Linked DNA regions of Drosophila melanogaster. The protein of the gene in region 1 interacts with the protein of each later gene in a pairwise test. Each region holds a gene or a part of one and is shown in the gene's direction. Other genes may lie near its edges.

Region 1 (7,972 bases):
TATAATGGAATTTAATAGGCGCGATTTACAACGAAAATCAAATGAAAATGCTTTTGAAAAGTGATTCAAGTGCCAGAGCTGCAAATTGAAATATTTTATATGAGTTTCTTGGAAGTAAAATTAAAGAAAATATTATCTTCAGATCTTCTAGATATCCAAAAGATGCTTCAGAGATGTTTCTTTCCTTGGAAAAAATTCCTAAAAGCACACCGAACACAACCCACTACCAACCGCCACCCCACACTTAAATCGCTTTTATAGCTCCCATTTAATCTATCGCTCCCCATCATGTTTTTGGCATCATTAATCTGGTCATTAAGTCCCACGGAAATCGTAGACCCATAGATACAACAGATCCACTCCCTATATATTATACATAGATACATCCATGCCGGGCCTAATCGTTTGATGGACAGCGATGGACGGCGGACTCTTGTAAATGTAAAATCGTAAAAATCCAGTTGAGGCAGGCGGGCAAAAAGCGCCTAAAAACACTCATAAAACGGCTGATTGAAATGGCTTCATTCCGTAGACAACAATTTGTTGTCTCATCGCTGTTGTTGTTGTTTTGATAGATTTTTAATGTTTTCGGCCTAATAAGCAACAATTGGTTGCACTACCCAGCCCCACCTCTTCCCCATCCCGGCCCCCATCCCAATCAATGCACAGTTACAATTTCCGCTTTGGGGCAGCAAACAAACTTTCCCCCAGCCCCAAACCAATATGCATCTTATATTTTTCATTGCGGGCCGCGTTTATCAAAATTAATTGGAAATTTTCGTCGTTTTTTAACGACTTCTGGGTAAAAAGTCATTTGAGCGCAGAGAGGTGGGGTGGGGACTTCAAAAGCAAAAGGCCTGTTGCACATGCTACCTACCAATGGGACTGAAGATCTCTCATTGGGGGCTCATTTGGTTCTCCGGACCTGCCAGTTTTATGGCCTATAACACAATATAATTTCCTGTCAGTCAGCCGACGAATGCCAAAAACTACAATTCATAATTGCTTTGGAAATATGTTTATAAACGCGGCCCACTCGTCGACCATCATTGGGGGACAACTTCATTTGAATTTTACGACAAGCGTACAAATACTATAAAATATAAATATTTATGGCCAGCACTTACAACAAAGTTAATTTATTGAATAGTTTCACAATGTACACGACCCCATGCATATGATATTTATTTCAATTTCATTCGTTTACGACTTCCAAAAAACTAAAAAAATAAATTTGGATTCTTTTCGTCGAGCCGATCGTGAAAATATATATTTTTTAATGAGATCCAGCGCAGCTTCGATTGTGACGCAAGTTGAAAAATATATCTGCTTATCTAATTTATGTGCTGCCCATTATTTACTGAAAATATTTGGAAAATTTAGAGCGTCTTGTTGTTGGCATGTGAAAAAAAAAATAATCATCAATTGCTGAAAACCATTCTTAGCAATGAGATATTTGCTTTGTTCCTAGAAGTTAAACAAAAGCAGTGGGGATAATTAATAGGTGCTTAAATTGTTAATCTTTAATGATTATTGGTTCGATTTATTTATTCGATTTATTTAAAAGATTGATCCTTTTCGCTTCGAAAATATTTAAATTACAATTGAATTAAATAAATATACTTCATCAAATTGCCCCATTAATGTGTGCCCTGGAACTGCATCATATTTTGCGGAAATACGTTCGAGACAAGGCAATTATGTTTATCTCCTGTAGCCAAAATGACCCCCGTAACCTAATCAACTCCCTAATGCAAACACACACGCCACATAGGACCCGATTAAACTCGCCTAACCCTTCAAAAACTCATCAGCATTGCCCATGTGTGTGAAGATAGGGATTTGCCTGTGGAAAGCGGGGGAAAACTGGGCAAAAAGGCGGGGGCACTGGGGAGTGACGCAGAGCGAATCGAATACTGCCTCCTTGTCAATTACAGCGACAGTTGCCATGGCCGTCACTCCGTCATCGTCATCGTCATCGTCATCGTAGGGACAAATGTCAGGGAACCCTTTATATGGTCGGTCGGGTGGGTCAGTCACATATGAACAGGAACCGCGCCCACCGGATTGCTGGGCCGCCAGACATGTTCCACTCGTTTTTGGGTAATTACATTTGCAGCCCGTCTGTCCTGTCCGCCGACTTTTGTCAAATACAAAGCGGCAAAATGTTGTGCGAAATTCGGCAGAACAAAGTGCTGGGGTTGGGGTTCGGATGCGAAACCGGAGTAAACATAAATCAATATCATCGGCTACAGGGCGGACAGATTCCCGACATCAATCAGGGGCCCGCATCCGAAATGTAGGGAGCGCAGGAGACGCGCGGCGCGTCTCCTCCTGAAATTAAGACGATGGATCAATGTATGACGAAGGCACCACAAAGGAGGGTCCGACAAAGAGAGAGACAAGACCCAGACCGAAACCATTCTGTTAGAAGGAGGTTCCCTCCGCCGCCTTTGCGGAGCCCCTTCTCGATCCCCTCACCCTCCGTTCGATCGCGTGTTCTTCTTCAATTACAGCGCCATTATACCGAAAGCCGAAAACGTTTTACGGTGCGAAAGCCTGCGGACCCCGAGGGCAAAGTTAACCCCTTGAGAGCGGTACATATTTAGAAGTTCTACATAAGAATATTGGTCCTCCTAAACGTTCAAATATAATTAGGAACATATAATGCCTAATGGAACATCAAGATATAAGGAGGTTTTGTTAGTTTAATCTCTTCTTGAAATTTCATAATATCTTATAATCGACTAGGTACACAGTTGATGTTTCAGTTACTAGCTCTCTAGAAATTTAACACGATATTAGTTATTACTATATTATTTAACGTATTTAAGTAAATGTGAAGTATGCAAAAATATTATATTTTACCTCCATAAATACACTAATATTTTTCAGGTTGCCACATTGGGCCTCAGTGGGTTAAAGGCAAGCCGATCACCGCGGGTTCCTTCCACTTGCTTTCGATCGCCGGAGAAAGAAAGAGCTTTGTGTTTCTTCATATTTTTTTTTTTGCCTCTGCGGCGTAATTCAGGATTCTCCTTGCTCTGTTATTATCGGCGGGTTTGAGCTTGGGTTTGGGGTTACTTTTTGGTTGGTGGTTGGTTGGTTGGTAATTGCCCTGATGTTCAAGCTCAGCAGGCGGCTTCTTCTGCGTGGCGAAAATTGGGGCAGGGGCAGCGGTTGAGATCAAATTTAAAAACAATCAAATTTTTTTCTGCTGCGGCTATGCATAGAGGCAAATTAAAACCGGGTATTATCCAAACACGTGTATAATCAAAAACCGATGGTGGAGGCAGTAACTACCAGTCAAAATTCAGCTTGAAAGGTGTAAGCCAAAAGAAAGCTCTAAATTTGAGGCGTGGCATTCGCTGCAATCAAATATGTTGCTCTAATAATTGCTTCTTTGTATGCAATATTTAAGAACGTTCTGTTATAAATGGAAAAATCACTGAAAATATATCACTCGAATTTTTAGTATAGTTTAGCTTAGTAGCTATTAAAAGGAAAATACTCCATAAATGTGAATGTATAAATTTGAAACAAAACATATGGTATTTGCAGTGGTTAAAAAAAAATGTAAATAAAAATAAATAAATTTTATTAATTTTTTACTGGTAAAATTTGAATCGTTTTTTAGAAGATAAAGAAGAAAGAAAAATATTTGTTTATATCATTTCATATATGTTGCTTGTCATGAACCAGAGTTCCATCATACCCTTTTCGAATAGAAAAAGAGATAACACGCCTTTACAAATTTCGAGTTCGAAATTGAGAGAACGTGTTCGAAAGAGAAAGAGCGGCGCTCGAAGATGAGTTTCGAACAACGGGCAATGTTTCGATTCTCGAACGACTCGCATTCAGATTGTTTTCGTCCGTTGATTCGAAAAGACGTGTGAACTGAGACTCGGAGATACAGCGGAAAGGATCTAGAAGATACGCGTAGTTTGGCCCACCAAAACAACTACTGACCGAACGGATTGTTGTGGCCCAGTGAAGTTATCGTTGAAATTGGAAATTGATCAAATGAATAAATGTATCCGCGAGATACGCCCAGTGAAGTTTTAATTTTCTAGCCGGAGAGAAAAATCAAGTGTGAAAAGCAAAAAGGAAAAACGAAAAACGAAAAACCGCCCCCACAACAATAACAAAAACAACCGGTACGCCACCCCCCGAAAAATTGACGTCGCCGTCGCCCTCGTCGCAATCGTTTGGAAATAAATCGTGTTTTTGCATTTGTTGTTTTTTGTTGTTTATACGCCAAGTTATTTACGTCGTCGCAAAGCAAAAAGAAAAAATTGAATAAATAACAACAAAACGGCTGGCGAAAAACAAATCGAGTCGGCGAAAATGTTTTACAATTAAAATTACGCGCGCAGCGGGCACAAAGGTACCAATATACACGAGTGCGAGCGCGAGTACGAGTATCTGCAAGATACACACACGTAGATCAAATAAAGCAGCGCAATATGCGCAAATTAAACTAAAATGCAGCACATCAGAGCTGTAAAAACTTTTACGACAGCGACTACGACTGGTAACTTGCCACCCGCACAGTCGAAAATAATACCAGATACAAATTAAGGTCGCCCAGCGGCAGCGCATAAACACGGTGGAACGGGAAGTGGCTGTGGAAGTGGAAGCGGAGGATTCTCTCGCCTCCTACCTGGAGTATATTAGTCTCAGTCCTTAGATCCTTACACAAAAGGATAGCCAGCCAGGGAGCGCAGAACGCACACACAAGGGCCGTAAAACATTTTGGGCTGCTGCTATACTGCAGGTCTCCTCCTCTCAGGACTCGTAAATTTCCAGCCCAACCACCACCACCGCCGCCCGAAAAACGGAAAATAGAAACACCGAAAAATCCAAGACACCGCCAAGTAACTGCATCCTCAACCCGCTTATATATAGAACTATATAGGTACATATATCCGGGCAGCGATGGCGGGTAACATTGTCAAATGGTGGAAGCATAAAATTCTCGGCGGCTACAAACAATTCTCAGGTAAGCGAAAGCCAAGCGTTCTCAACTTGTTTAGTGAATTTCCAGATAGTTGGCAGCAGATATGGAAAAGATGGATGTTAATGCTCTCGTGGGGAGAGACAGCTGGGCGATAGCATTCAGGGAAACAATTTGTTGGCCACAGTCAAGTAAATTAAATTGAAATATTGAGTGAGTCAGGGATTCGCAGGAAGATATCTTATAAATATGAAGAAAGTCGCTTAGGAATATATAATTATTGATTTATAATTGCATTTACTATTGAAATAATGATCCATTCCTATATCCACCTACCTGACACTAAAACCACTAACCCATGCAGAATGTTTTCCTTATTCATTTTTCCGTGGCCTCTTATCGAAGGCCATTCCCATTAACATACGACTATCTGGGCCGAAGATCTAAAATATTACCTTCTCCCAAACAATTGTTCACTCACCCGCACACAGATATGTATGTATTTGTGTGTATGTGTGTATTCGAATTCATTGAGTCAAGGGCTTCTCCCACATCCTTTTCCAATAATTACGGCGAACAACTAAAAGTTGAAAATAAAATGTAGGCAATCGCCCGGCTGCATTTTTATCTGGAAGATACACAGCCGTTCGTTCGCTTGTGGTCTTTGGAAATGGAAATGAAAATGGGTAGGAGAATGCCGGAGCAGCGACACACAAAAATAGAACGGAAAATCGGGCATGGTGCTGAAGAAGAAAAACACAACGGCAGGGCAGATCAAAAGGAAAGCGACCCATGGAAAATAAATAGAATTTTTTTTGGAAGCAGATCGAAGAGGCGAAGGGATCGGGATAGGGATAGGGATCGCGATCGCGATCAATAGAACGTTTCGCTTTGGCTCCTGCTGCTGCTTAGAGATCGGCTCCTTAGTCATGGGTAGCATATCATGGACGTAAATAAACAAGGTCCGTGTTTCCAAAGTGGGATCCGATCCGAATTGGAAATGGACGACCGAATCGGACGACCTTTCTGCCAAACGAGCAACGTTGATGTCCGAATCGCTGAAGTAACATCAATCAATCAATGTTCCCTGGGTTCCTTTTTTCTGTCCACAAATTCATTGGAAATATTCTGGGGCCCCCATCCACCTCTTTACTTTTCTGGAGTCTTTTTTTTCATTGGTTTGTTTTGTTTCGCTTTGAAGCCCCAGAGAGAGATTTCCTCCTCATCGGCATCGGCTGGCAATTGGTCTGCGCCAATTAAATGCCAGGCCAACACTTTGAACCCTTTGCAGGACGACAAGCCCCGTACACTAATTGCTGGCAGATGCAGGGGGAATTCAAAGGAAACCTCCAAAGGCACACCGAAGCATGCAACTTCAAAGAAAGCAGCCTCGAAAACACTACACAACAACAAACGGGAAGAGAGTCGTACAAAAAATGAAAATCAAGCGAATTGAAATGCCGACGCCGTTTAAAAACAACGTACGAACATTTCTTACCTGTTGCAGGTAAAACCGAAGGCAAGTCGATGCCGCGATGGAGGTGGAGTTGGCCCGTTGCTTATGGATGCACTGGGAAAAAATTCCATTGTTTTGTGACACTTTAATCCTAAGACATTACATTAATAATGGGCAAAATTATAAAAGAATAGTGAAATTTAGTAAAATATTATATTAACATAAATCCAAAATGTTAAAAGTGATTACGCAGATAGTAAAATATCACATGAATAATTAGATTTGCCACGATATATTTGTTGTTGAATGTTAAAATTATAAAAGGCCAAATAATTATTTCCTGTGTAGAAAGCAGCAGCTGCTGCGAGGCCAAGATACCGATGCCGACTCATACACAAAAACCTTTTAAAACCCTCACGTTGATAAAACAACAACAATAACATCGGACATCAGCGGCAGCAAGTCGTCGAGCCGCCGCCGCAAGCAAAAATAATAATAACTGAGCCACTCCATCCATCTGCAGCCCCAACTCCGACCAAAACTGAGAAACTCCCCAACTCCATCTCGAAGATACATCCACATCCACATCCACATCCAACCAGTTCCGCGGCCAGGCCAACTATGCCAAACATCTCAGCAGCGGCTACACAAAAGCGGTTTAGAGACCAACCGACGATCGACAGACGGACAGATGGACGGACCGACTTTCAGACAAACGGACGCACAGACGGACGGGCCGAGGAACGGCGATCCAGCGATCCAGCGAGCGTACTCTGCTTGTATCTTTGAGATACACACCGCGCCGATGCTGCGACTGCCAAGCTGCGCTTTGCGCTCTGTTCAAAAGATGCGCTTTTTGCTTTGAGGCGCGGCACCAGAGGCCGTCGTGCACAGTGGTTAAAAATCGTGTGTTTGAATGGGGATTATCGTGGGCACTGACGGGCGGGGATGATATGAAACCCAAACCTGAGAGGCTATTGATGTTCGAAAGATTTTAAGCAGATTAAATAGGATTTAATAGACACGTTGTATAGATGCATTTAAGCCATACTTACAGGTGGGATCCGCATATTTTGTAGATCATATGTGGCATCCTTAATTATTATACTTATTGTAACTAAAAAGGTTTTCATTTAAGTATACTTATATTTATGTCTTTTGATCATGCATATAACATTTATTTGTGCTTACCATACTTAATTGTATATTTGGTAATGCACTTGTGACCACTGTTTCTTCTGCGGGTTTTACAACGCTCGCCTTGGCTTTTCTTCGATACCGTGCTGTTGCTGTTATTATTATGGCTGTGGTTGTTGTGAATTACGGTAGAAGGCAACAGGCGAATCGCGTCGGCATTGCCTTCATGACAGGCTGAAAGCAACGTGGCTCGAACCGCACCGGGCTCAAATCGCAGCCCCGAGGTCCGGGAAGCGGGCACCAGCTCTAGCTGCCACTACCAACTTTGACTTGGCACTTTTTGGCTGATCCGCAGAACTCGAGAATCGGAGGGGAATGGAACTGGCTATGGCTATGGGTTGGGGCATGGTTATGGGTATGGG
Region 2 (8,117 bases), on another chromosome or scaffold:
GTGCCGTTTCGGGCAGTGTGCGCCACTTCTCGCAGATAGGCAGCTGGTGGCGCTGCTCGAGTATGAAGGGCCAAATGTCATTTAGCAGGTGATGGTACTTCTGGTGCTGATGCTTTCGCAGATTGTATAGTGCAATGTGGAGCACATCCACCCATTCGATTTGCATACGACGAACGAATTCTATGCCATTGTTGCAGACCGTGCAGCAGAAAACAAAGAACCTAGACAATGAGATTCATTTCAGTTTAGATCACAGTAAAGCAATTGAATACGTACATATCGCCGCGCAGCAGCTTCTTCTTGAAGTTCTGCATGCATTGGGTGTGGAACCAGTTCCGACATTTGCAGCACTGCAGCATATTGTGATCGAATTTTCCCGGTTTGCCGCAGTAGCAGTAGATCTGCTCTTCGTTGACCCGATGCTTCTCATCCCAGCTGAGCTTATCCGCCTGTGGGTAAAACCGGATTAAGAATCTAATCCGCTGGCTTGGGTTCGTAGAATACTCACATGGTAGGGCAACTGGCGACAAATTCCCGCTGGTTTTGTGATCTTATGGCTGACAGGCTGTTGCATTTTCATGGGTTTAGCGCAGCGTTTGCAACTCCAAATTCCACTGCCAGTAACAATTTCAACGGTGCAACCACGATGGTAGCCACGTCCGCAGCGCTCGCAAATTTCGACCACATCTTCGATATCCGATCGCTTGCAGGCCACGCACATGGGTCCACTGGGGGAGGTATTCGTGGATTCCGTGGTAGAGGCACCGCCTCCGCCAGCGGTAATCGAGCTACCGCCACCTAGCTTGCGCAGCTTATCCGGTTCACACCATTGCTCCGACTGGTCATCAAAGCGGATAAGATATTGATCGCTTGTCTGGTCAATAATGGTGCCCAGGTAAAATCTGCCATCGTTGCATTTGATGAAGACGTCCTCCTGAAGCGCATACGTGACCGCTGGCGAGGGAGCGGCAACTGGTGGTGCCGGCGGCGGTGGTGGTGGTGATGGAGGTGTTGGCGGCGTTGGCGGTGCTGCTTCGACGGTCTTGAAGCTTGGCTTCATTGAGTTGACGCCTTTGAGCAGCGATTGCGTGGCTAGTAGCGGAGGCGAGGGCGAACTTTTACCGGGTGAACTCATGGCCTCCGGCGTAGTTGGCGGTGTCTGTGGCGTTGTGGTCGTAGAATCCGGCTCATCCACAATCACAACTGCTGCTGAGGTGGTCGCGGTACCACTATAACTGCTGCTGGATACAGAACTGCTGCTGCAGCTGCTGCTATCCGCCGTGCTGCTGTCGATGAGGGGCAGGATGGCCTTGTGCTGGATGGCCGGTATGATGGGCGAAGGTTGTTGGGCCGTGGTAAGCGATGAACTTAGCGAAGTGGGCGTCTCCGTATAGTGGTTATTGATGCAAATGTTTATGCGGTCTAACACGACGGTGGAGGGCGGTGAGGTGGAATTGGTCACAGGCACCAGCGGCGGCGGCTGCAGTTGCTTGCCAGTTCCGCTGGCCGCCAGTAGATTGATTTGTCCCGCAGTTTGGCCACCGCCACTGGGCAAGTAGTACGACTGAACGGGAGCATATGTGGAGTGCGCTTCCTGTGGCGGCTTATTCAGACTGTATACACTTGGCGCCGTCGAGATGATTCGTATGTTGTTGGCCTTGAATGGGCTGCAGCTTGTTGCCGCCTGTTGCTTCGGTGGCGTTGATTGCTGAGCGAAACTGTTCGTGATCTGGATGGTGCTGGGATGTGTGGGATGCGTGGTCTGCGGCCCAGTGGTGGCATAGTATCGCTTGGCCACCGTGGCAGGTCCTACGCTGGGCGGCAGGATCTGGTAGGTGGTCGTCATCCACTGCGGCTGCTGGCCAGCTGGCTGTGCTAAGTAGCCGTAGGTGGCCGGAGGAGCTGATGGGACAGCGGTACTCGGCTGTTGCATGAACGGATGTGCCACGTTCTGCGGTGGATGATCGTGTTGCAAGTGAAAATGGTTGTTCATCATTGCGGCTGTGTGTGCGTGCTAGATGCGTTGATTTTTCCAGTGCGCAGTCTTTTGTGAAAAATATGGATCTTCAGTTCGATTTGCCGGCTTTTCGCGGCCCGTTTTTTCATTGATTTTGCGATTGTTTCCCGCTGATTAACACGAGCTCATTAATCTGGCGCCTTTTTCGTCGAATTTGTTGTTGCCCGCCGACACATACATGCACACTTTTGCTACACATACGGACTGGAGAGCGGGCCCTTTTGTATTCTCTGTGTCTTCCTCATTCGTACTTTTCCACACGCACCACAGGCACTTCTAGTTTCGGTTGCCGATTTACCCACCTTTAAGTGTGTTTCGAATCGTGCATTAAATTAGCATTTTGCTCTTATTGATTCGGCTATCGGCTTTGAACGTCGTTGTCCCAAGTTCATCTTTAACACCAGCGAAAATGCACAAAACAAATCACTTGAAAATTAATTTGTGTCAGCCATTTTTCAACATATGCCCACCAGTGTGACCGCATCCAACAATTGTTCTTTTCGTTACATTTTCATATATAAATCTACCACAACTTATGTATGTTATGGTAATAAAATTAACTTGATTAAAATAAATAAAGAAATATTGGAAATTTGTCACCACAATTTTACATTTTTATATTTTTAAATATATCGAAACGTATAAAATATACCATAAATTTACTTAATTATCCCCACTGTGCCGGCAAAGACTCAGCGGTCTCGTCCTGGAAAATACTAGAAAATACATTTAAATATTTCCTAAAGATTCAAAAACGTTAATATCATACATAATTTACATTTTAAATGTAGAGTGACAATTATTAAATCAAATTAAAAAAAATAAAACTAACATTTATATTAAGGTAAAACTTTTTGATTGTCAAAGTAAATCCTATAGAAATTTCAAAATGAATGTTAATTTTTTTAGTAAGTATGCCCTTTGTATGCTTTTATGTACAACTTATCTAAAATCAAACCAACTAATTTTAATTTTAACTCATAATTATCTTAAAGATATCAAATAGAAAATACCAAATACTAAAATCCCTATCCTTTGGTCTGCCGTATTAAAATCGACAGTTGCCTATCAATTAATGTTATGGGTACACATATCAATACTAGCTTTAAAAACAAATAACAGAATTTGATAAGTTTTTAGTATAATGATCATCTAGTAATTGGGGTCAATTATATGAATACGAAGTTGCGCGCCAGAAAATACTAGATAAAAACCAGAGGACCAAGCAGACAGCTAGCAATGGTATATATAGCAGCGAACTTTAGTTCGATAGGTTTTTACCAAATTGGTCACGCTGCGAACAGAAGCAATTTTACTTGACGGAGGTTTCATTAAATTTTCACTTGTGAATAAAACGCGAAAAAGCACTTAAAAACCGAAGAACTGTGTAAAACAAAAGCGGTACGCCAAGAAAGTGAAGTGTAATAACTAAACTAAACAAGTAAAACGCGAGTTTTTCACTTCGCGAAAGGTTTGTGAGCTGCAAAATTGTTAAGGTAAGTAGGTTGAGCAGGAGAAGAAGAACTGGAGCTCCATTTGTGCAAGTTGGTGGCTCGAATGACGCACTTGGCTGCAACCGAAAACATTCGATTCGATCAGAGCTGCAACTTTCACATCAAAATTGTACCCATATGTACATTTTACATATGTATGGTGTACCTGGACACGCACACTGATTCCCGCACCCATACACACACTTAAACACACACACATACAGCGGCGTGGAAAAGTGAACTGTAAACTGGAAAAAAAGCGTTTGTGTTGGTGTTGGTGTGCAGTGAATTCATTGAGTAGTACTCCTTTCCAGGCTGCTGGTCACTTTATGTCCAGGTCGCGTTCATCCGCTAAAGCCGTGCAGTTCAAGCACGAATCGGAGGAAGAGGAAGAAGACGAGGAGGAGCAGCTGCCTTCCAGGAGAATGCACTCTTACGGAGACGCCGCGGCCATCGGAAGCGGGGTGCCGGCCTTTTTGGCCAAATTGTGGCGCCTGGTGGACGATGCCGATACCAATCGCTTGATTTGCTGGACCAAGGTAAGCCTACGCCGCCATATTGTTTATTTACCTTTCCAGGGACTCCCCTCCCACCACATACCGCTAATCAGCATGGCAACAACAATGACTTGGCCATGCAGGTGTCTCAAGCTCTCTTTGTAGCGTTTCGCTCTCTGTTTTGTTGTTGCCCATGCCGCATCGCACGTATGCAAGTTGCCTTCCCCACACACTCATCTTGTTGTTGTTGTCGATGTTGCCATTTGCATGCGTACGTGCGTGAACTCTGGAAAATTTTCCATCTCCAACTGACAATCGAATAATTTCCCTTGGTCATTCAGTTGGCTTTTCATTTAAGATAAGAGTAATTGGTTCTCACTTAGGTTACCACACACTCTTAACGAAGAGTTTATTGATAAGCATAGCCTACCATTTTTTGTCGACAACATATACTCATTAATATGTGAGTATGAGCGTAACATAATCTAATTTTCAAATCCAATATTTTTAGCGTGTTTCACGCATAAAAATCTCACAAAAATTTGAATTTTAAATGAAAAAGTTGACAAATTTTATAAAATACGAATTTTTTTAAAACGATCATTTTATACATTATATAAGAACACTAGTTCCAGCTTTGGCTCGTAACTATAGTTTTGCATCTATAGATATAATTACAATTAGCTAATTATTTTCGTTGCTTATCGGTTTTGGTTTGCGGCCAACCGCTAATAGGTTTGTGGCAACTACATATCAGCACAACTCTCATATCGCTTCCGTTTTTCGTTTTATTTTTGCAGGATGGCCAAAGTTTCGTTATACAAAATCAAGCGCAATTCGCCAAGGAACTATTGCCACTAAACTACAAGCACAACAACATGGCCAGCTTCATAAGGCAATTGAATATGTGTAAGTAAATGAAACATCGTTGAAACATCAACTGAAAACTAAAAAAAATTTGTGCTTTGCAGATGGATTCCACAAGATCACCTCTATTGACAATGGCGGACTACGTTTTGATCGCGACGAGATTGAATTTTCGCACCCATTTTTTAAGCGCAACTCGCCTTTTCTACTTGACCAAATCAAAAGGAAAATATCGAACAACAAAAATGGTGACGACAAAGGTGTCCTGAAGCCGGAGGCCATGTCGAAGATTCTCACCGATGTGAAAGTCATGCGGGGTCGTCAGGACAATCTGGATTCGCGCTTCTCCGCCATGAAACAGGAGAACGAAGTGCTGTGGCGCGAGATAGCCAGCCTGCGCCAAAAGCACGCTAAGCAGCAACAAATAGTCAACAAACTGATCCAGTTCCTCATTACCATTGTGCAACCGTCGCGCAACATGTCTGGCGTGAAACGCCACGTGCAGCTGATGATCAACAATACGCCGGAAATTGATCGTGCACGGACCACCAGTGAGACCGAGAGCGAGAGTGGCGGCGGACCGGTTATCCACGAGCTTAGGGAGGAGCTTCTTGATGAGGTGATGAATCCATCACCGGCTGGCTACACCGCAGCCTCACATTATGACCAAGAGAGCGTCTCTCCGCCTGCCGTTGAGCGTCCGCGATCTAACATGAGCATTAGCTCGCACAACGTCGATTATTCGAATCAGAGTGTGGAGGACTTGCTGCTCCAGGGAAATGGAACCGCTGGCGGTAATATTCTAGTAGGCGGAGCCGCTTCTCCCATGGCCCAAAGTGTGAGTCAATCGCCGGCCCAACATGATGTCTACACAGTCACCGAGGCGCCCGATTCTCATGTCCAGGAGGTGCCAAACAGTCCGCCTTATTACGAGGAGCAGAATGTGCTTACCACGCCCATGGTGCGGGAGCAGGAGCAGCAGAAGCGTCAGCAGCTTAAGGAGAACAACAAGCTACGACGACAGGCAGGAGATGTTATACTTGATGCTGGAGATATTCTCGTAGATAGTTCGTCGCCCAAGGCGCAACGGACAAGCATCCAGCATAGTACGCAACCTGATGTGATGGTCCAGCCAATGATTATAAAGTCTGAGCCGGAGAACAGTTCCGGACTGATGGATCTAATGACTCCCGCGAACGATCTGTACAGTGTTAACTTCATCAGTGAGGATATGCCGACGGATATTTTTGAAGTAAGATACATTTTAAACATCTTATGGTAGTTGCTAACTCTTTTCTCTTAACTCTTTAGGACGCTCTGCTTCCCGACGGCGTGGAAGAGGCAGCCAAACTGGACCAGCAACAAAAATTTGGGCAATCGACAGTGAGCAGCGGCAAGTTTGCCAGCAACTTCGATGTGCCCACCAACAGTACGCTGCTGGATGCCAATCAGGCCTCGACATCGAAGGCAGCGGCCAAGGCGCAAGCATCTGAGGAAGAGGGCATGGCTGTGGCCAAATACAGTGGCGCTGAGAACGGAAACAACCGCGATACCAACAACAGTCAACTCCTCAGGATGGCCTCAGTGTTAGTAGACCAGAAGAATACGAATTCAAGTCGGATAAGCCATAATCAAGCGGCTAATTCTTACTGTTGCAGTGACGAACTCCACGGGCACTTGGAAAGCATGCAAGATGAGTTGGAAACACTGAAGGATCTGCTGCGTGGCGATGGGGTGGCCATTGATCAGAACATGCTCATGGGTGTAAGTATCAACATTGAGTAGAATTTCTTGTATTAGCTGTCCGTTTGTCCGACTCGATGATTATTTAACTTATGTTCTATTTACATGATTAGGCGCTTAGCAGGACGCCCAATTTTCAGTTGCCGGAGGACGAGCTGCTTTTAAAGGTCAGCACAAAACGTCCACATCTGGCCTTCATGTCTGAAAATTCCCCTGCAGAACTAACTAACAATGTGATTTATTTGTATACTTTATAGCTGTTTAACGACTCTGATCTAATGGACAACTATGGCCTATCGTTTCCCAATGACAGCATAAGCAGTGAAAAGAAAGGTTTGTTCGGAATTCAGTATTAATTCCTTCGCTTGAGACTAAACTATTTGATGATTCAAGCAGCACCCAGTGGCTCTGAACTGATTTCCTATCAGCCCATGTATGATCTGTCCGACATTTTGGACACGGACGATGGCAACAATGACCAGGAGGCCAGCAGGCGCCAGATGCAGACGCAAAGTTCGGTTTTAAATACGCCACGTCACGAGTTGTAACTTATATTAAGTAGCAGCAGCTCAGCCGTTAAATTGGCGAACAAATCGTTTTTAGTGTTAAATGCAAATCTTGACACGTTAATTTTCATCACCTACTCTGTCTAACCATTTAGTTGATTCATACGATAATCACATTAATAACCACTATAATCATATGAATGATCTGTATATGCCTTATGCACTATATATATGATATATAGACTAACCAGTTCTTGTTGTAGAAAGACTCGAAGAATCAGTAAAGATTTAGATTTATTTTGTATCGCGGGATTTTGCGGGCCCCAGCTCAGCAGGTAGAAGATTTTTAGTTTGCACTAACCGATCGAGAGTACAGTGAAAGCTGATCGCATCGTATACGATTTAAGATCGCACGCTTCAGTTTATACATTTTACACACTACTCTTATCATTATTTCAAAATAAATTGTTTAATGTCGCGTTGAGCTGCAAATGAAATCAAATGTGTACTTTTTCTTTGGAACAATGAAACTTCGTTTGCTGCTAACCTTGTTTTGTGCATAATTTTATTCGACTCAATGTTGATACAACTAAAGAGATATGGACTATGGACACATATCGCCTCAAATTAACCTAGAACCTTAGCCTAGGACTCGAAACGTAGAGTTACAAGTTGTTTGCAAGTATGTAAATACATAAATGAAGGGGGAGTGTGGGAAGTGTTCGAGTGCGTTGTCTACCACTAAGGATACTAATCGAGAATTGTACGTATAGAATGATGACTATGACGCCTTAGCTTTCGTCCTTGTACTTGGCGTCCTTCAGAATGTTGGCGAACTCGAACTTGACCCGCTCCCGTTCCGATCTCCGCATGCTGCGCAGTGTGTCCACCAGCGATAGGCAGTAGAGCTCGATGGGATCGTTGAAGGACGACGTCACTTGGGTCTGAAGCGGCGCTTGGGTTGCCTTGCGCTTGAAGGGATTGGTCAGAAAAT
Region 3 (8,758 bases), on another chromosome or scaffold:
GGGCTAATTTTATGTACAGTGTGGGGATTCTATTATATTCACTATCTAGAAATTAGCCTATTCAACGTTCGATCACTAGCTGGGCGGAAGAATGCCTAAAGATCGCAGACATAAGGCGGCCGCATTGAGTTTCGCCTCCTTCTTGTTGTTGCTTCCTCGATCCGGCGTAAAGGTCTGTCCGTTAATCTCGACCGAAAAGAGAAAGGAACGGTTGTGAGCGGGCCCGATATCCTGACGTAGCTTATACTGCGGCGGCATCCACTTGTTCTTCGAGGTCAGTTCGTTGAGCACACACACGGGATGCTTATCCTGGGTGACCAGCGGCGTGGACGCCAACGGTCCAGGTCCCGCACCCTGAACTGCTGGACAGGGGCCAGCTCCAATTGGTCCCGCCATGTTTTTATTTCTTCGCTGGGCAGCCGGCGCACGCATTTGCGGTGGCCTTAAGTCATCGCGCGACACCAGGCCACGCTTGTCCAATTTGACGTCCAGCAAAAGTGGTTGCAATGATCCAGTTTTACATCTGCCCAGTCCCTCGCCCGGTTTCCAGCCCATCTTTTGCAGGAGCGCCATGCCCATGCCCCCAGTCACCGGTTTGGTGGAGGTCATTTGGTCTTTGCGCACCCACAGCTGCGGACCGCTGTTCAGCTCATGTGCCTTCATCACTTGGGCACCCGTGCTTCCCGTGAACTGACCGGGCAGATGCTTTGAGTTGGCCCACGATGACATGTTGCGTTGCGCAGTGTACATCATTTTTAGGGCCTCAGAGTCGGCCGGATTCTCCTAAGATAAACAAAATTATGAAGCCAACCGTTAAAATGACAAATGGTTCTAGAGCTCACCTGCAGGCGTCGAATGGCACTAAGACGCTGGGTGATTATGCTGGACACGTCCATGGAAGGCGGCGTAACATCGGGAAAAATGGAAGCACTTTGCATCGGTGTTACGGGTGACGTTGACGGGATGGGCACCTCGGGAACGAAGGGAACAGCCGGAGGGGCAAACTCTTTGGGAACGGTTGGCGGGACGGATTGAGGAACAGTGGGTAATTGAGTGGCGGCTAAGGGCGGGACTACGACTGCTCCTCCCAGTGGCTTAAAGGCGGGTTCCTGCTGCTCCTGCAAGGGTATCGACTTCGCGAACACGTTCTTCGGCGTTTCCTTAAACATATTGGTGGCCTGTTTTGCTGGCGGTAGGGAGGGCAACGGCACTAGCGAGTCCTTAGGATCCACCGGCACCCACACCTCATTGTTGCGATGGGTCTGACCCGACGACACCGGGAACTGCATGGTTATGGCCTTTGTTTGCTCGTCCAGTCGAGGTGGTGCTGGAACCAGCGCCGTTGAGTTTCGTATATGCATCACAATTGGCTCGCGCTCCTTCAGCTGAAAGGGATGATGGAAGACCTTCGCATTACCATTCTTGTCCACATCGGACTCCTCTTCTGAACTCAGATCTGACAGGCCGTCGCCGTTGGAGATTTTTTTGCAGAAGTCGGTAAGATCTTGAATAGTGCGACCTCCGTAGCGCATCTTGACGAGAACCTTGTCCTTGACCTCTGCAGTCATGTTAGCCACACCGGGCATAGTTCCCTGTTTGAACATGTTAATGGCATTTCGTCGCGCAATCTCGAGCAAGCGCTTTTTGTCTATGCCGAGGTCACGCGAGCGAGATCTTGACTTTCGGTTTCTCCTGGTGTTGGATTCGCGCACGTTACGCTTGGGTGAAACCGACAATTCCTCCTTTTCATCATAAAAGCTGTTGTGCGCCCGTCTACGGCCGTTGGAAGCCTTCTCCCGGAGGTACGACTCCTCATCGGAGAGCGAGATATCGGAGAGATCTTGTTCCTGCCGTGACTTTGTGCTCGCTGATTCAGATCCTTTCAAGCGATCCGCTTCACGTTGCCCGTTGTAAAAGCTATTGTTGGAGCGGACGCGTTCCCTTTCATGCTCCTTTTCCCGTTCCCTTTCTCGTTCCCAGTCGCGATGCTTCTCCCTTTCATGTCGTTCGCGCTTTTCGGAATGACTGGAAGGCTCCACAGCGCTGCGCTTCCGGCTCTCAGACTTTTCTTTCTCCTTCTCGGAGGGAGCTTGTGCTGCCGTAAACTTATCTTTGGATTTGTCCCTATCCCTGTCCCTGTCCCGATCCTTCTCCTTTGATTTGTCCGTAACGCGGTCCCGATCTTTCTCCTTAGATTTGTCCCGGTCCCGATCCTTCTCCTTGTCTTTGACTCTGATGTCTTTATGTTTGTGCTTCTTACGTTTATGCTTGTGCTTGCCTTCCGCCTCCGAGTCGCTGCATTCGCCATCTGACTTGGTCGTCTTCTTTTTCTTGGCCTTCTTATCCTTCTTCTCCTTTTTCACCTTTTTCTTTTTCTTGAACAGATTGTCGTCTAGAAGTTCCTCTGGTGGAGCGGCATTGAATACGCCGAACAGCTCGGCAAGGATCTCGTTCGAGGACTTTACAGGCTTAATGTTCTTCTTGTCGTCCGCCGACGCGGAGCTCTCGCTCTCCCCCGACTCGTCATTGTTGCCCAGTTCATTGCTGTTGCTCCTCCGCATCAAAGTCACCATCTCCGCCTTGATCTTGGCATTCATGGCCCGGAGTTTGGCCTCCACCTCTGCGTCCGGTCGTTCGCTCTTTACCTTAATTGGCGGAATCTTGGTCAGTGCAAGTGGCTCCTGAACCGGAGGATTTGTCTGAGACCCCGCCACTTGAGGCGTTTCTACGCTCGCCCCTTTCTCTGTGTTCTCCGTCATTGCTCTCTCGCTGGGCGCGGATCGTCCTAGTGTCTATGCATGCTAATAGATTACCGCAACAGATCAGCGAATTTGTCGCTGTTCGCGATTAAGCGTTTTTCTGCACGTCTTGCTTGGACAGAAGTTTCAATAATAGCGATGACACTCGTAATGGTATCTACAGTTCGCAGGGCTCAAAGATATCGATACTTTGCTAGAGTTGTGTAATAGTACCGTCACGACAAGCGCCTGCTTGAAAAAACCTAAATAATAAGAATTGCTATAATGCTTTTTAAGACAAATGAAATATTTCCTAAATAATGTTCAACTGGTTCATAAGCTTACAACTCCAACTGAGTAAACTTAAAATTTCTAAATTTAAAAAATAAGTCGACATAAATTCAGATCTGACGATTGGTGCTTCAATCGACCCTGCCTATAAGTGGGCAGTCCCGAATTGCCAACCGCAGCCAACTTCACTCACGTCGTTGTCACTGATTGCAATTTTAATAAAAAGGAAAGAATTTTATCACTTTTAAAAGACGTAGAAAGTGTATGTGTCGTGGGAGAAACCCGATTTACTTGCTAAAAACGTAAGTATCCTCTACCGAGGACCAAGAGAAACACTTTTTTCGCCCGTTGCATTGCTAATTTTCATGTATTTTTTCGCCATTTCCTTTTTTCAATGCCTGCGCCATCGTGTTATGCTGCAACTGTGTTGGTCGATTCTACGTTATTTTTTCGTGGATGTGCGCTGGTGTGGGTGCGAATAATTTTTCCCATTGGCTGGTGTGCAATTGAAACAAATTATTAATTGTTCATCGAATACGCTAGGAGGCGTACGTCGCCAACATCGCATTCAATAGTTTTTAAAAACTCACTTTTTAACAGCCAATCGAAAAAGCAAACCCTTATACAAGGAAATCAGACAAAATGACGTCTATGGAGCAAAATCGTTTACAAAACTTCAAAAACAAAGGGAAAGACCAGGATGTGAGTAGTTAGAAGTTACCGCTGAAATGGGAAACATTATAATATTAATTAATTTGCAGGAAATGCGACGTCGGAGAAATGAAGTCACCGTTGAGCTGAGGAAGAACAAGCGCGAAGAGACCATTCTCAAGCGTCGCAATGTGCCCAATTTGGACTCGAACACAGATGAGGAGGAGCAGTTGTCCTCGTCCATTGACCTGAAGAAGCTGGCAAAGGCAGCCGCAGACGCCACCAAGCCGGAACAGCAACTGGCCGCTGTTCAGGCTGCCCGCAAGCTGCTGTCGTCGGACAAGAATCCACCCATCAACGATCTGATCCAAAGCGACATTCTGCCCATCCTGGTGGAGTGCCTCAAACAACACAATCACACAATGCTCCAGTTCGAGGCCGCCTGGGCCCTGACCAACATTGCCTCTGGCACATCGGCTCAGACCAACGAGGTACGTTCAGCTTTCCCTCTCAGCACTTTCTTTGTTTTAATGCAATATAATCCTGTATAGGTTGTTGCCGCCGGTGCCGTGCCGCTCTTCCTTCAACTTCTCAACTCGCCCGCTCCCAATGTTTGCGAACAAGCCGTGTGGGCCCTGGGCAACATCATAGGCGATGGTCCTTTGCTCCGCGATTTTGTCATTAAGCACGGAGTCGTGCAGCCACTTTTGTCGTTCATCAAGCCAGACATCCCCATCACATTCTTGCGCAATGTAACATGGGTTATTGTGAATTTGTGCCGCAACAAGGATCCGGCTCCCCCGACAGCCACCATTCATGAGATCCTGCCCGCACTCAATGTGCTCATTCATCACACCGACACGAACATCCTGGTGGACACGGTCTGGGCCATCAGCTATTTGACTGACGGTGGCAACGATCAGATCCAGATGGTCATTGAAAGTGGAGTTGTACCCAAGCTGATACCACTGCTGGGCAACAGCGAGGTCAAGGTACAGACAGCCGCACTGCGGGCTGTTGGCAATATTGTGACTGGATCGGATGAGCAGACACAGGTTGTGCTCAACTACGACGCGCTCTCCTACTTCCCGGGCCTGCTCTCGCATCCCAAGGAGAAGATCCGAAAGGAGGCGGTTTGGTTCCTTTCCAATATAACCGCTGGAAATCAATCGCAGGTGCAGGCCGTTATTAACGTGGGTCTCCTGCCCAAAATTATCGAGAACCTAAGCAAGGGCGAGTTCCAGACACAGAAGGAGGCTGCCTGGGCCATCAGCAATCTGACCATTAGCGGCAACCGCGAACAGGTCTTCACCTTGATCAAGGAGGGCGTCATTCCGCCATTCTGTGACCTCCTTTCATGCCAGGATACGCAAGTTATAAATGTAAGTATAATTTGCGTCTCTTCACATATTTGTTTTGAGTAACACATTCCCCTTTTTTTTAAAGGTTGTTTTGGATGGTCTGAACAATATGTTAAAAGTGGCCGATTCTCATGTTGAGGCGGTGGCCAACTGCATTGAGGAATGCGAGGGCCTGGCCAAGATCGAGCGTCTGCAGAGCCACGAAAACGTTGAAATCTACAAACTAGCTTATGAGATCATCGATCAATACTTCACTGATGAGGTGAGCTAACAGTTTAAGTCAACCGTTTGTTATTATTCTAAAACGTTTTTGATGCATCCTTTACAGGGCGAACAGACTAACATGGCACCGACCTCCGACGGCGCACAATACAATTTCGATCCACACGCCGATAGGCTAACGATGAACTCATTTAACTTTTAACGATTTAATCAGAAAGCAGCCGCGCAGTAGCAGTGAAGTGAAAACCAAACACGTGCAACACCACATAATTTGGCGTTTATTCGTACACAATCGCTTGTGTATGAACAAGCCCGACGAGCCGTCAACCAATTCACATAATAATAGCATTATATTTTGTCCACCACACAGCAGCAATTAGACAGCCGGGTTCGTTTTAGGGACGAGAATAGGAACTCTGGAGGATACACAACGGATAATCCGCTGCAGCCGTTTTAGCTTCTCTCAATTCTGTGTTAACAAAATTACAAAATTCAGACATACACACACTCTTGGGTGTGTGAATGTGCAATGCAAGGACTTCTCCGATTGAAGCGACTCTGCTATAGATCATCCAAAATATAAACACAGGAATGAGAAACAGATTTCAAAAAGAATGTAGACCTATTTGATTTATATGAAATTATTTAAATATTTACGCTTCTGATTTGTAATTGAAATTACATATGTATACATTTCTAACATGAAAACGATAAAAGCAAAAGGCAACTCATCATTTTGTTTCCAGGCAGATAAGTTAAGCGGAATTTTATAAGAACAAGTGTGTCGCGTTTCAAGACCAGGCATTCGAGTTGTCCGTCGGCCGAGCTGTTAATAATTAGCGTTTATTTCAGCTAGTGCGTCACTTGAGCACGTTTCCCATTAATGCGCAATTGCCCGTCTACCTGGCAGGGCAGCTGAAAAATCGGCTTTCACATGGCAACAGATCGAGTAAATATTTGTAAACAATCAGATCGAAAATCGAATTCGGATTGCAACAGAAGGGACTGGGCGTTTCCCTCAATTGAGGGATCAAATTGTATTAATGACTTATCTGCAAAGCATCAGTTTCGCTAGTGTTCTGTATACAGTATAGGATACTTTAAATCAGTTAGATTTAGTTGAGTGATGTGATGTATGTTTTACTTTTAAATCTTGAGGAGTGTGGGAATAAATAGCTCTTCATTTTACTTTTACATATTCGTTCTTTCATATAAAGAAAGTTTCGCCTGGCGGTTGTTTTTGGAACTACTCAGAATATTTACGTGTAACTTACCCATCATCTACATGGGCTTCTATAATTATTTATAGGACATTCCGAATTCTGTGATGAAAGTTAACTTTATGAAAGTGGTTCCAGCTCGTGCAGTACAAATCTTTTACTGAAATTTACCTAATTTTTCGAAAATAGTATACTTTGACTTATATATGCAGGCGGGACAACGTTTACCAACACTAGAATTTGAGATGGCAGATTGTCTAGCTGTAGTACCCCAGCTGTTGCGGTGCTAAAATTATTTTTATAATTGTGTAATTGTATGTGTTTTAATACGTCATTTCCTGTGAGATTTAATAAATATAAGATTTAGATATTAATTTTTTTGTATTAGTGAAAAATGGCGCATCACTGTTGTCGCGTGACTCCTAAAAAACTTGCATTTGCCTGCTATTTATAGAGATGCTGCACTTGTATTGGTAGCGATGCATTCGATTCAGACACATTTGCTTCCGTCAACATTTTGCTGCGGAAATTGCGGAAATTGGCACACTCTCCTCAAGGTCAAGGATGTTGTGCGATAGCTAATGAACCTGTGATCGTGCAAAAACCTGTTCCTAAAGATGAATGCATGATTTTTGCACTTTTTAGAAAGTCAAGTACGAGTTGTAGGTACAATTGTATAGGTATTTCCTTAACGTGTCAAATTAAACACGTTAGAAAATAGCGCGCTCAGCTGTTCGAGTTTGCGGCTGTGTGGGTGCTAGCTCTCTCTTTTGCTCTCTTTGTCTTTTTCGCTCTCTCACGAAGCTTTTTGGCTTTTGTTGTTTAGCGTTTCATAGTAGATTTTATTTTGTGATTGCCAGCCAACGAGTTTGGACGCATAAATTATCATCACTGCAACCCGTGGAATTTTTTCGCACAAATAGCAACAACAACAAAATGTCGTCCACAGCCGTTCAGCCACCGCCGCCCGTTCCCCCGCCGCCACCATCGGCCGTCCCTTCCGCCGGAAAGGGCATCCACTCCAAGCTGTACAACGGGATGATTGGCGCCGCCGACAAATTTGTGCCCGCCAAGCTGCGGCCACTGTGGATGCATCCAGCTGGTAAGCCTCACATAGACCACTATGCTACATAAAGAGCACATCTTTAGGTTCGGTTTGATTCCAGGTCCCAAGACGATATTCTTTTGGGCACCCGTCTTCAAATGGGTAAGTAGACAGAAAGCCAGACGGATGGGATTACATAACTCGGACAACGCACGACCTTCGCTGATTTTCATTATCGCACACATACTATAGTTCACCATAAATCCGAAACGACGGTAGACAAATCTGAGCGCAGGTGCCATTAAATGAAATTATTTGATTATTTCGAGCAACCTGCGCTTGATAACAACCGCATACGGTTGTGTTCGTGAGCGGATTGCCTTCTGTTGTGGAACCCTATGAAAAAAAGTTTCCCAAAAAAATCAAAAACTTTTGATTTATTTAGTTAGTTTGTTTGTTTCGATAGTAGGCATATAGATGCCTCATACTTATGTACATACATATATCAAGCCACAAATAAATAAAACAAAGAACAGCCAGTTGAGATCTCCCATAGCGGCACTAAAACATAGAAACTGAAGATGCCTAAGCATATCGCGTCCTTTAGTTAAAACAAAAATTAAATAAGCAATCGAATCCTTTATCTCCTTTGCCAGGGTCTCGTTGCCGCCGGCCTGAGTGACTTGGCCCGACCGGCCGACACCATCTCCGTGTCTGGATGCGCCGCCCTGGCTGCCACGGGCATCATCTGGTCGCGTTACTCGCTGGTGATCATACCCAAGAACTACAGCCTGTTCGCCGTGAATCTCTTCGTGGGCATCACGCAGGTGGTGCAGCTGGCACGGGCCTACCACTACCACCAGAGTCAGGAGAAGCTGAAGCAGGAGCAGCAGCAGCCGGCGGTGCAAAATTAGATACATATCGAATCGAATACCGGTGCTGTCCCCTTTATATAGACTTTAATCGAACTTTTATGTACATACAAATCCCACAACGCGCAACGTAAACGAAAGGATTAAGAGGAAGCTGTACTAGCAGATCGCGAAACTGCGTTTTACAACCTGTTAACCATTATTATTTATGGTTCACCGCCTTATCGACGTGATTCGTATTACTTAAGTTGTAACTGTGGAGGCTTTGCGTATAGTTAAATCGAAACGAGAATGATAAATCAATACATTTTAAGACTTTAGTCACTAGATAAACGTAGTTGTTCGTTTTATTAAAGTG
Region 4 (7,875 bases), on another chromosome or scaffold:
ACTGGCGGTGGTGGTGGCGGCGGCAAGGGTGACGCTAGCAATGATGGGAAAAACGATTCCGAATCGGAGGATATGCCCACATTCACCATTGTAAACATCGATGACATTATCAATCAGGACGATGTGCTCATTTCCAGATCACACACTGCTATGGCCGCTTCCGCAGCTGGCGGTAATTCAATCAAAAAGGTCGCTTTGGGCAGGCCCCGTACCAAGAATATCGGAACCGGCAATTCGGTTGCCGGCGATAAGAAATCCATCACTGTTAACAGCACGCAGAAATCCCTGTCCGCTGCTGTTAACCACAACAATACGACGGCGGGGAATCCAGCCAAGCGCATCAAGATCTTGGCCAGCAACAGTAGTGTCAATACCAAAATGGGACCAGTGCATATCCAGAGTCAACTGCCGAAGCCCCGGCCCAGGATACTCAACGCGGAAATGGGCAAGAAGACGCAGTCGATGAAACCGCTGATGAGCATGGGCAAGGAGCTCTGTCCCACGGACGTCGACACCGAAGAGGACGATCCGGATCCAGATCTCGATTTTGATATCGATAATATACCGGTATCTATTGTTACCCGTAAGAATGCCAATGTCAATGCCAATGCCAAGTCCAAGCAGGTGACGACAACGACGTCGGTGGCGGCGTCGGCGGCGATGACGTCCGCTCCAGCAGCGGTAGCGGTTAACAAGTTGAACAACAATCGGCGCAATGTGCTGTCCACGACAGCGTCGTCGGTGAATGCGCTGATTGCGGACCGGAGGCTGAGCAATCTGCTGGCCGATAACGATGTCCAGCCGGTGTTCAAGAAGCCGAGCCTGGTTCCGCAGCGTCGCAGCAAGGAGAACCAGCAGGAGCAGCAGCGCGACAAGGAGCTGACAACGCTGCGCGAAATATTGCCCACCGGCGGTGGCATCGACGATGCCAACAGTCCCAAATATTTTCCGCCCGAGACCACAACGTTTCACGAGGAGGATGGTCGTGTGGTAAAGAAGATCACCTGCTATGAGACGTGGCATGTGGTTAGCACGGCCAAGGATATGTTGTCGAAGATGGCGCGCCAGCAGCGCACCTGCCTGGAGCTGGCGCTGGTCAAGCTGGCCAATGTGGCGTCACGGATAAAGGTGCCATCGGGCAAATGGACCAGCAAGGTGACGCTGTACAAGGTCTCGCCGTCGATGATGCCCCGCCAGACAATGACCATCTTTACGGGCGATCTCAAGGCGTACAACATACCCGAGGAGGACCGTCACAAGTATCAGCCGTCGTGCGTGCTCTTCCGGCGCGTTGTCGTTGACAAGAACACGTGCCGCGTGCCCTACGATCGGGCCGTCATCTTCAAGAACAAATGCTTCTATGCGAACATCGATGGCAAGCATGTGAATCTGTTGGGTGCCCCCGAGACGGTTGCCACCATCAAGGATGTGGAGATCCTGCTGGATATCGTCGATCGCCTCTCGATCAGCAGCAACATTGTCGAGCTGGTCAACGCTAAGTGAGCGTGGAGGCCTGGTCCATGGTGGCCACAGGAAGAGCACGTATCACATTGTAAAAAATAATTCACACACAGCACTCCCCTCCCCATCCCCATCCCCCTCCCCCATACACATACACAAACAAACAAAGCGGACACTCGATAATTCGTTTTATGCTGTAGTTGTAATAAAACAGATACAAGTTTTTTTTTGTAAAACCATTAACTTAGTTGTAATAGCTAGTGTAGCGTAAATTTATATATATTTATATGTATATATATATATGTATGTATATAAATATATATTAATATATATACACGTATATATAATTATATATTTATATATATGAATATATATATATATATATTTATATAAATTTTTATATATATATATCTCGTATATTATAAACAGCGGACGGACATACATAAATACAAACGGCAGATGTATCTATGTAATATAAACTAAACTAAAGAAAACAATTAATTGTAAAATGCTCGCCCAACTCTCGAAGGGATTGCGAAGTTCCGGGCGGTCGAGGTATATCAATAATGATTTTTATTTTAAATGCGTTGGAATACATAGCCCCCCTCCGCCTTCCCCGCGAGTCCCGCCCCCTTCGAAATCCTTTTTTTTTAAATTGCTATTATCGTAGTCGATTCAATAATATAAAACCGGGCGTACATGTGCCTACGCCCGCGTGGAGGACTAGCCAGTAAGTTAGTCGAGTGTATATCTAAGTGATCCCAATTCAAAGCATACAAATAAAAGAGAAAACTGATTTAAATAACGAGCGCCATTGCGTGATAAATGGCGGGCGGGGTTATCTGGAAATCGGGCAGCTATAAATAAACTGCGGCCAACGCTAGAGATTTTCGTGTGAAAAGCGAAAGAAGATAAGGAACGCAGGCTTCAAGTGGATGGATGGATGAGTTTCCTTGGTCAAGTTTCCATGACAAGGATAAAGACTCTACTTTTAAACAGGACACTCTTCAACTATGCTACATCATTATATGGTAAATTAATACAATTAAGAGTTCAATATAGCTGTAGTTTTAGATTCTACATGTTTTATGTAATAGAAATTGCTATTTTGTTAAATTATAATAAATTTATTGTTTTGAATAAGTATTCAAATTAAACGATATTTATCGATAACTTTGGTATTTAATTTTAAAAGTGTTTGAACTACATTCAAATTGTAAAGCAAATATCGTTAGAGAGAGCATTTCCAATAGAAACTAAATACATTGCAGTTTTTAGTAGTTTTCCATACGCTTTTTCAGAATATTCGTTTGAGAAAATGTTAAGAATGTTCGAATTCGAAAGGGTCTGGCATCGCCGGCAGTGTGACCAACTGCCCGGCGCTTTGGCATTCCGTGCGTGACGAGCGGCTAACACACTGTTTTTTTTTAGTCTCAAAATTCTAACAAATTTATTGATAAACTAGCAATATGCTCGTTTCGCCCTGCCCCCGCTGCGTGCACCGACATTAAAGCGCACCAAATCGTGCTAATGGAGCAATATCAACGCCGTGCAAATCGACGAATTAACAGCCGCCGCTTCCATTGAATCGAAATACCCAGCCCAAAAAAAAGAGAAAGAAAAAGTAAAAGAAACGCGTGCGAGAGCGAGAGGGCTAGAGCGACCAGGGGGAGAAAAGCAAAATCGAGTGAATTTTGTTTGTTGTATCGGCTTTTCCCTGGCTTAATCCCGTTTTCCCTGTGATTTTTCCCCACCAACTTCCCACGCCACCTCCCCACCGCATCCATCGCATTTCGTTTTGATCGCGTTTTATCGCGTCGAGGAGTTTTCCCGTGGATTTCCGCAGTCGGCGCAGCTAAAATGGACGCGGACAGGGGCGGCGGGCAGGAGACGAAGGTGATATACCACATCGACGATGAGACGACGCCGTATCTGGTGAAGATCCCCATTCCATCCGCCCAGGTGACGCTGCGCGATTTCAAGCTGGTGCTGAACAAGCAGAACAACAACTACAAGTACTTCTTCAAGTCAATGGACGCCGATTTCGGTGTGGTCAAAGAGGAAATAGCCGACGACTCCACCATACTGCCCTGCTTCAATGGGCGAGTGGTGTCCTGGCTGGTCTCCGCCGATGGTACCAATCAGTCAGATAACTGCTCCGAGCTGCCAACCAGTGAGTGTGAATTGGGCATGGGTCTGACCAACAGGAAGCTACAGCAGCAACAGCAGCAGCATCAGCAGCAGCAACAACAACAGCAGCAGCAGCACCAGCAACAGCAACAACAACAGCAGCAGCAGGTGCAGCCTGTCCAGCTGGCGCAGCAGCAACAGCAGCAGGTGCTCCATCACCAGAAGATGATGGGCAATCCGCTGCTGCAGCCGCCACCGCTCACATATCAATCGGCATCCGTGCTCTCCAGCGATCTGGACTCGACCAGTCTCTTTGGCACCGAATCCGAATTGACGCTGGACCGCGACATGACCGACTATAGCAGCGTTCAGCGATTGCAGGTGCGCAAGAAGCCGCAGAGGCGCAAAAAACGGGCGCCCAGCATGTCGCGCACCTCCTCGTACAGCTCCATAACCGACTCGACCATGTCCCTAAATATCATTACCGTCTCCATCAACATGGAGGCGGTCAACTTTCTGGGCATATCCATTGTCGGGCAATCGAATCGCGGCGGCGACGGCGGCATCTACGTGGGCAGCATCATGAAAGGCGGCGCAGTGGCACTCGATGGACGCATCGAACCGGGCGACATGATCCTCCAAGTGAACGATGTCAACTTCGAGAACATGACCAACGACGAGGCGGTACGTGTGCTGAGAGAAGTCGTTCAGAAGCCGGGACCCATCAAGCTGGTGGTGGCCAAGTGCTGGGACCCAAATCCCAAGGGCTACTTCACCATTCCGCGCACGGAGCCGGTGCGACCCATCGATCCCGGTGCTTGGGTGGCGCACACTCAGGCCCTCACATCGCACGACAGTATTATTGCCGACATTGCGGAGCCGATTAAGGAGCGTCTGGACCAGAATAACCTCGAGGAGATCGTTAAGGCGATGACGAAGCCGGACAGCGGCCTGGAGATCAGGGATCGCATGTGGCTAAAGATAACGATTCCCAATGCATTTATCGGCGCCGATGCGGTCAATTGGGTGCTGGAGAATGTGGAGGATGTTCAGGATAGGCGGGAGGCGCGAAGGATCGTCTCGGCGATGCTGCGCAGCAATTACATCAAGCATACGGTCAATAAGTTGACCTTCTCGGAGCAGTGCTACTACGTGGTGAACGAGGAGCGCAATCCCAATCTGTTGGGCCGAGGACATCTGCATCCGCACCAGCTGCCGCACGGGCATGGCGGCCATGCGCTTAGCCATGCGGACACCGAGAGCATCACCAGCGACATCGGGCCGCTACCGAACCCGCCCATTTATATGCCATATTCGGCCACGTACAATCCAAGTCACGGCTATCAGCCGATCCAGTACGGCATCGCCGAGCGACACATCTCGTCGGGATCGAGTAGCAGCGATGTGCTGACCAGCAAGGATATCTCGGCGTCGCAGAGCGACATCACCTCGGTGATCCATCAGGCCAACCAGCTGACCATCGCCGCTCATGGCTCTAACAAATCATCCGGCTCCTCCAATCGGGGCGGCGGCGGAGGCGGTGGCGGTGGCGGCAACAATACCAACGATCAGGACGTATCCGTATTTAATTACGTATTGTAGAAACCTTTCTTTTTGCAATCAAATTGTGTTTTTAATTAATTAAATTAAATATGTACGATTATTCTTTTTTATATACGAGTATACAAAGCAAGCAAACAGCAAACCACAATATAATAATTATAATTATAATAATAATAATAATAATAATTATAATAATAATAATAATACTTATGTATATGTATGGTATGTGTAAGTCATAGAAAAGAACGCTAAACACCCAGCCGCAACGAGTCAAGGATCAGCGAGGGCTCGTGAGGCAGCAGGAGGATCAGCACAGGGATATCCGTGTCCGGCAGCAATCGGTTGTGGACCCGATCAGATCAGATCAACTGAGATATATGATATATGATATATATATATATATATATATATATATATATATGGATGATGCGGAGCGGAGCGGAGGAGCAGGAACGGCAGCATGACGGGCGAGAATGATTTTGAATAAAGTTCTAAGAATTTAGTAATCACAAAGTAAATAAATACAAATAAAATGAATAATCGATGGCTTTTCCATATGCATGAGATTGGTTTCTTTAACGCATTTTAGCTGTTTTCAAGTGCAAATCAAATTGCCAAGAAGACTTTTAAAATATTCCTAAAACATATTAGCGTTTGTTCGTAATTTGAGGAATATACATTAAAAAGGAAGTCTAATTTTTGTTAGTTCTTATTTCTTTGTACAGATTAACAATATTTAAACACATACTTTCCATCCTAAAAAGTAAAAGTCTCAACAAGATAATATTGTTCTTCCCCCTAAACCAAACAATGCGCCATCGAGAACAATCCTCGAAGTTGTGTGCACTCGGAGCGGAAACATTCCGGGCATGGGTGTGCACTTAATAAAGAAGAGAATAATGAAACCTATAAATAGAAAATCCATTTCGAGCAGCAAATGTGTTCAAATCAACCGCCCAGCTCGGACACTTTGCAACACTAAGCCCGAAAATCGATAGCAACGAACGTTCGATAACTGTTCGATAAGCACGCCAAAGCAAACTATCGCTTTCATTCCAGAAAGGTCGCGAAACCAATAGGTTCTATTGTGGAAAGAAACGCAAATTTCCAGTTCATTTGGATTGTTTAAATCCGAGAAAACGATGGCAACGGATGTGGAGCCGGCGGCGAATACGGCGGACAAGTTCTCCGCCAACGCGGAGGAGCTAGAGGGCTACTATCTGATGCTGGAGGCGGGAAATATTCCGGAACTGCAATGGCAATTTCCGGGACGCAGGGCTCCATCGCCGGAGGCGGGATCTGGCGGCAATAGCAAGGAACTCGAACAGGCCACCGACGCCATTGAGCAGGAGTAAGAACAAGTGCAGCACCATCCGAAGGTTAACATAACTTATGATTGATTTTCGTGTCCCCGCAGACCGCAGAAGGCCAACGACTTTGATTTCAGCGACGATGTGGCCCCCACCCAGATGCGCGTCCGCAGCCAGACGTCCACGCCCAAGTCGGCCAAAAAGAAGACGGCCAACTTCGCCGGCGTCATGGAGACGCTGAAGAAGAAGAATGCCGAGAGCTCATAGCACCCGCCGAAATTCTGATGCTGATCCGGTCCAGGCAATCGGCTGCAGATCGTACTCTATCGCCATGCGGACTAGTCTATAAGCATCAGTCGTTTTACAACCATCGACAGGATGGGCTGTGGAGCTCTGCTGCAAATCGCATTAATGTAAGGATTTAGAGAGAGTTTGAACTTCAATTTACTTAAGATTTAAATTACCATACTTATAGTTAGCATTTAGAGAGTTTGAAGTTTGAACATCAAAACATAAGCTTATTATGACTTATTAGTCAGCATCTAGAGAGGAAGTTTAAACATCAAAACATAGGCATATTATGACTTAATTACCATATTCATGTGACTAGCTTGTAGCTTAAATTGCAGCAGTCTTTGGAATTCTAAAAAACTTTGTGAACCAACAAGTTGCAACTCAGAGAAGTTTGAACTTCAATTACCATATATGCATAACTAGCTGTTAAGGATGTTAACTCCCATTGCATTGGTCAGTTCTTCATTTTAGACTAAGAACTTGTAATTGAGAAGATAGCATAGAACTAATCAACTTATGTTTAAGCAGAGGGATGTGTATGTGATCCTTAATTAGCACGTGGGAAATTTACGTTCTAAATGTTAATTGTCTTTATTTGATATATTATGACAATATTCTTGATAGTATTGTCCGAAACCGACGTTTGAAGACTAGAATATAGAATATAGGATAGAACGGATGTAAATTTAAATCCAATGCGAGTAAAGCAGATAACAAGATAGGCAACTGTAGATCAGTCAACTTCTGTACATAAAAGAACTGAATTTCACTAATAGCTGTTAAAACTAGAATATAGAATGTAGGATAGAACGGATGTACATTTAAATCCAAGATGAGTAAGATAACTATTTAGTAAGGCAACTGTAGATCAGTCAACTTCCGTACATACAACTAATACGAAATGAATCAGCACAGTTGCCCTACTAAACAATATCAACTTCTCATGAGCTAAAAATAGACTACTAAGAATTATGATAAGCCAAGGTTGTTCCGGAAAACGTAACTCCATCCCTTTCGTTTTCGTAGAAAAACCTTCTATATATAATGACATCATTATATGATGTTATGTGTAGATTAGAATTCCCATATGCTGCTAACCTAATGGTTCGCAGTTAAT

Evidence for each region.
Region 2: the proteins of nkd (region 1) and Hsf interact in a two-hybrid assay, tested with the Drosophila melanogaster proteins (one study listed by BioGRID).
Region 3: the proteins of nkd (region 1) and Kap-alpha3 interact in a two-hybrid assay, tested with the Drosophila melanogaster proteins (one study listed by BioGRID).
Region 4: the proteins of nkd (region 1) and dsh interact in binary tests that used the Drosophila melanogaster proteins (3 or more experiments, as listed by UniProt).

Annotation. Positions count from the first base shown.
Region 1 is NT_037436.4:19,041,334-19,049,305, reverse strand, and holds the start of nkd (naked cuticle), read left to right. Parts: upstream 1-3,856; 5' UTR 3,857-4,938; coding exon 4,939-5,002; intron 5,003-7,972. UniProt on the Drosophila melanogaster protein: Cell autonomous antagonist of the canonical Wnt signaling pathway. May activate a second Wnt signaling pathway that controls planar cell polarity. Required for neuroblast specification.
Region 2 is NT_033778.4:18,129,803-18,137,919, reverse strand, and holds Hsf (heat shock factor), read left to right. Parts: upstream 1-3,285; 5' UTR 3,286-3,513; intron 3,514-3,811; exon of another isoform or gene 3,812-3,824; 5' UTR 3,825-3,839; coding exon 3,840-4,049; intron 4,050-4,807; coding exon 4,808-4,916; intron 4,917-4,978; coding exon 4,979-6,126; intron 6,127-6,185; coding exon 6,186-6,638; intron 6,639-6,730; coding exon 6,731-6,784; intron 6,785-6,874; coding exon 6,875-6,950; intron 6,951-7,013; coding exon 7,014-7,165; 3' UTR 7,166-7,617; downstream 7,618-8,117. Other genes in the region: Pcl (polycomblike), read right to left, coding at 1-221, 277-449, 509-1,996; Dlip3 (dorsal interacting protein 3), read right to left, coding at 7,915-8,117. UniProt on the Drosophila melanogaster protein: DNA-binding protein that specifically binds heat shock promoter elements (HSE) and activates transcription. In higher eukaryotes, HSF is unable to bind to the HSE unless the cells are heat shocked.
Region 3 is NT_033777.3:9,572,181-9,580,938, reverse strand, and holds Kap-alpha3 (karyopherin alpha3), read left to right. Parts: upstream 1-3,205; 5' UTR 3,206-3,291; exon of another isoform or gene 3,292-3,331; intron 3,332-3,465; exon of another isoform or gene 3,466-3,629; 5' UTR 3,630-3,671; coding exon 3,672-3,731; intron 3,732-3,790; coding exon 3,791-4,171; intron 4,172-4,231; coding exon 4,232-5,062; intron 5,063-5,126; coding exon 5,127-5,303; intron 5,304-5,369; coding exon 5,370-5,465; 3' UTR 5,466-6,455; downstream 6,456-8,758. Other genes in the region: Son RNA binding protein, read right to left, coding at 76-783, 843-2,759; CG9399 (uncharacterized protein), read left to right, coding at 7,420-7,585, 7,650-7,690, 8,185-8,442.
Region 4 is NC_004354.4:11,353,033-11,360,907, forward strand, and holds dsh (dishevelled), read left to right. Parts: upstream 1-2,848; 5' UTR 2,849-3,321; coding exon 3,322-5,193; 3' UTR 5,194-5,692; downstream 5,693-7,875. Other genes in the region: CG1737 (uncharacterized protein), read left to right, coding at 1-1,503; Pa1 (PTIP associated 1), read left to right, coding at 6,297-6,505, 6,572-6,731.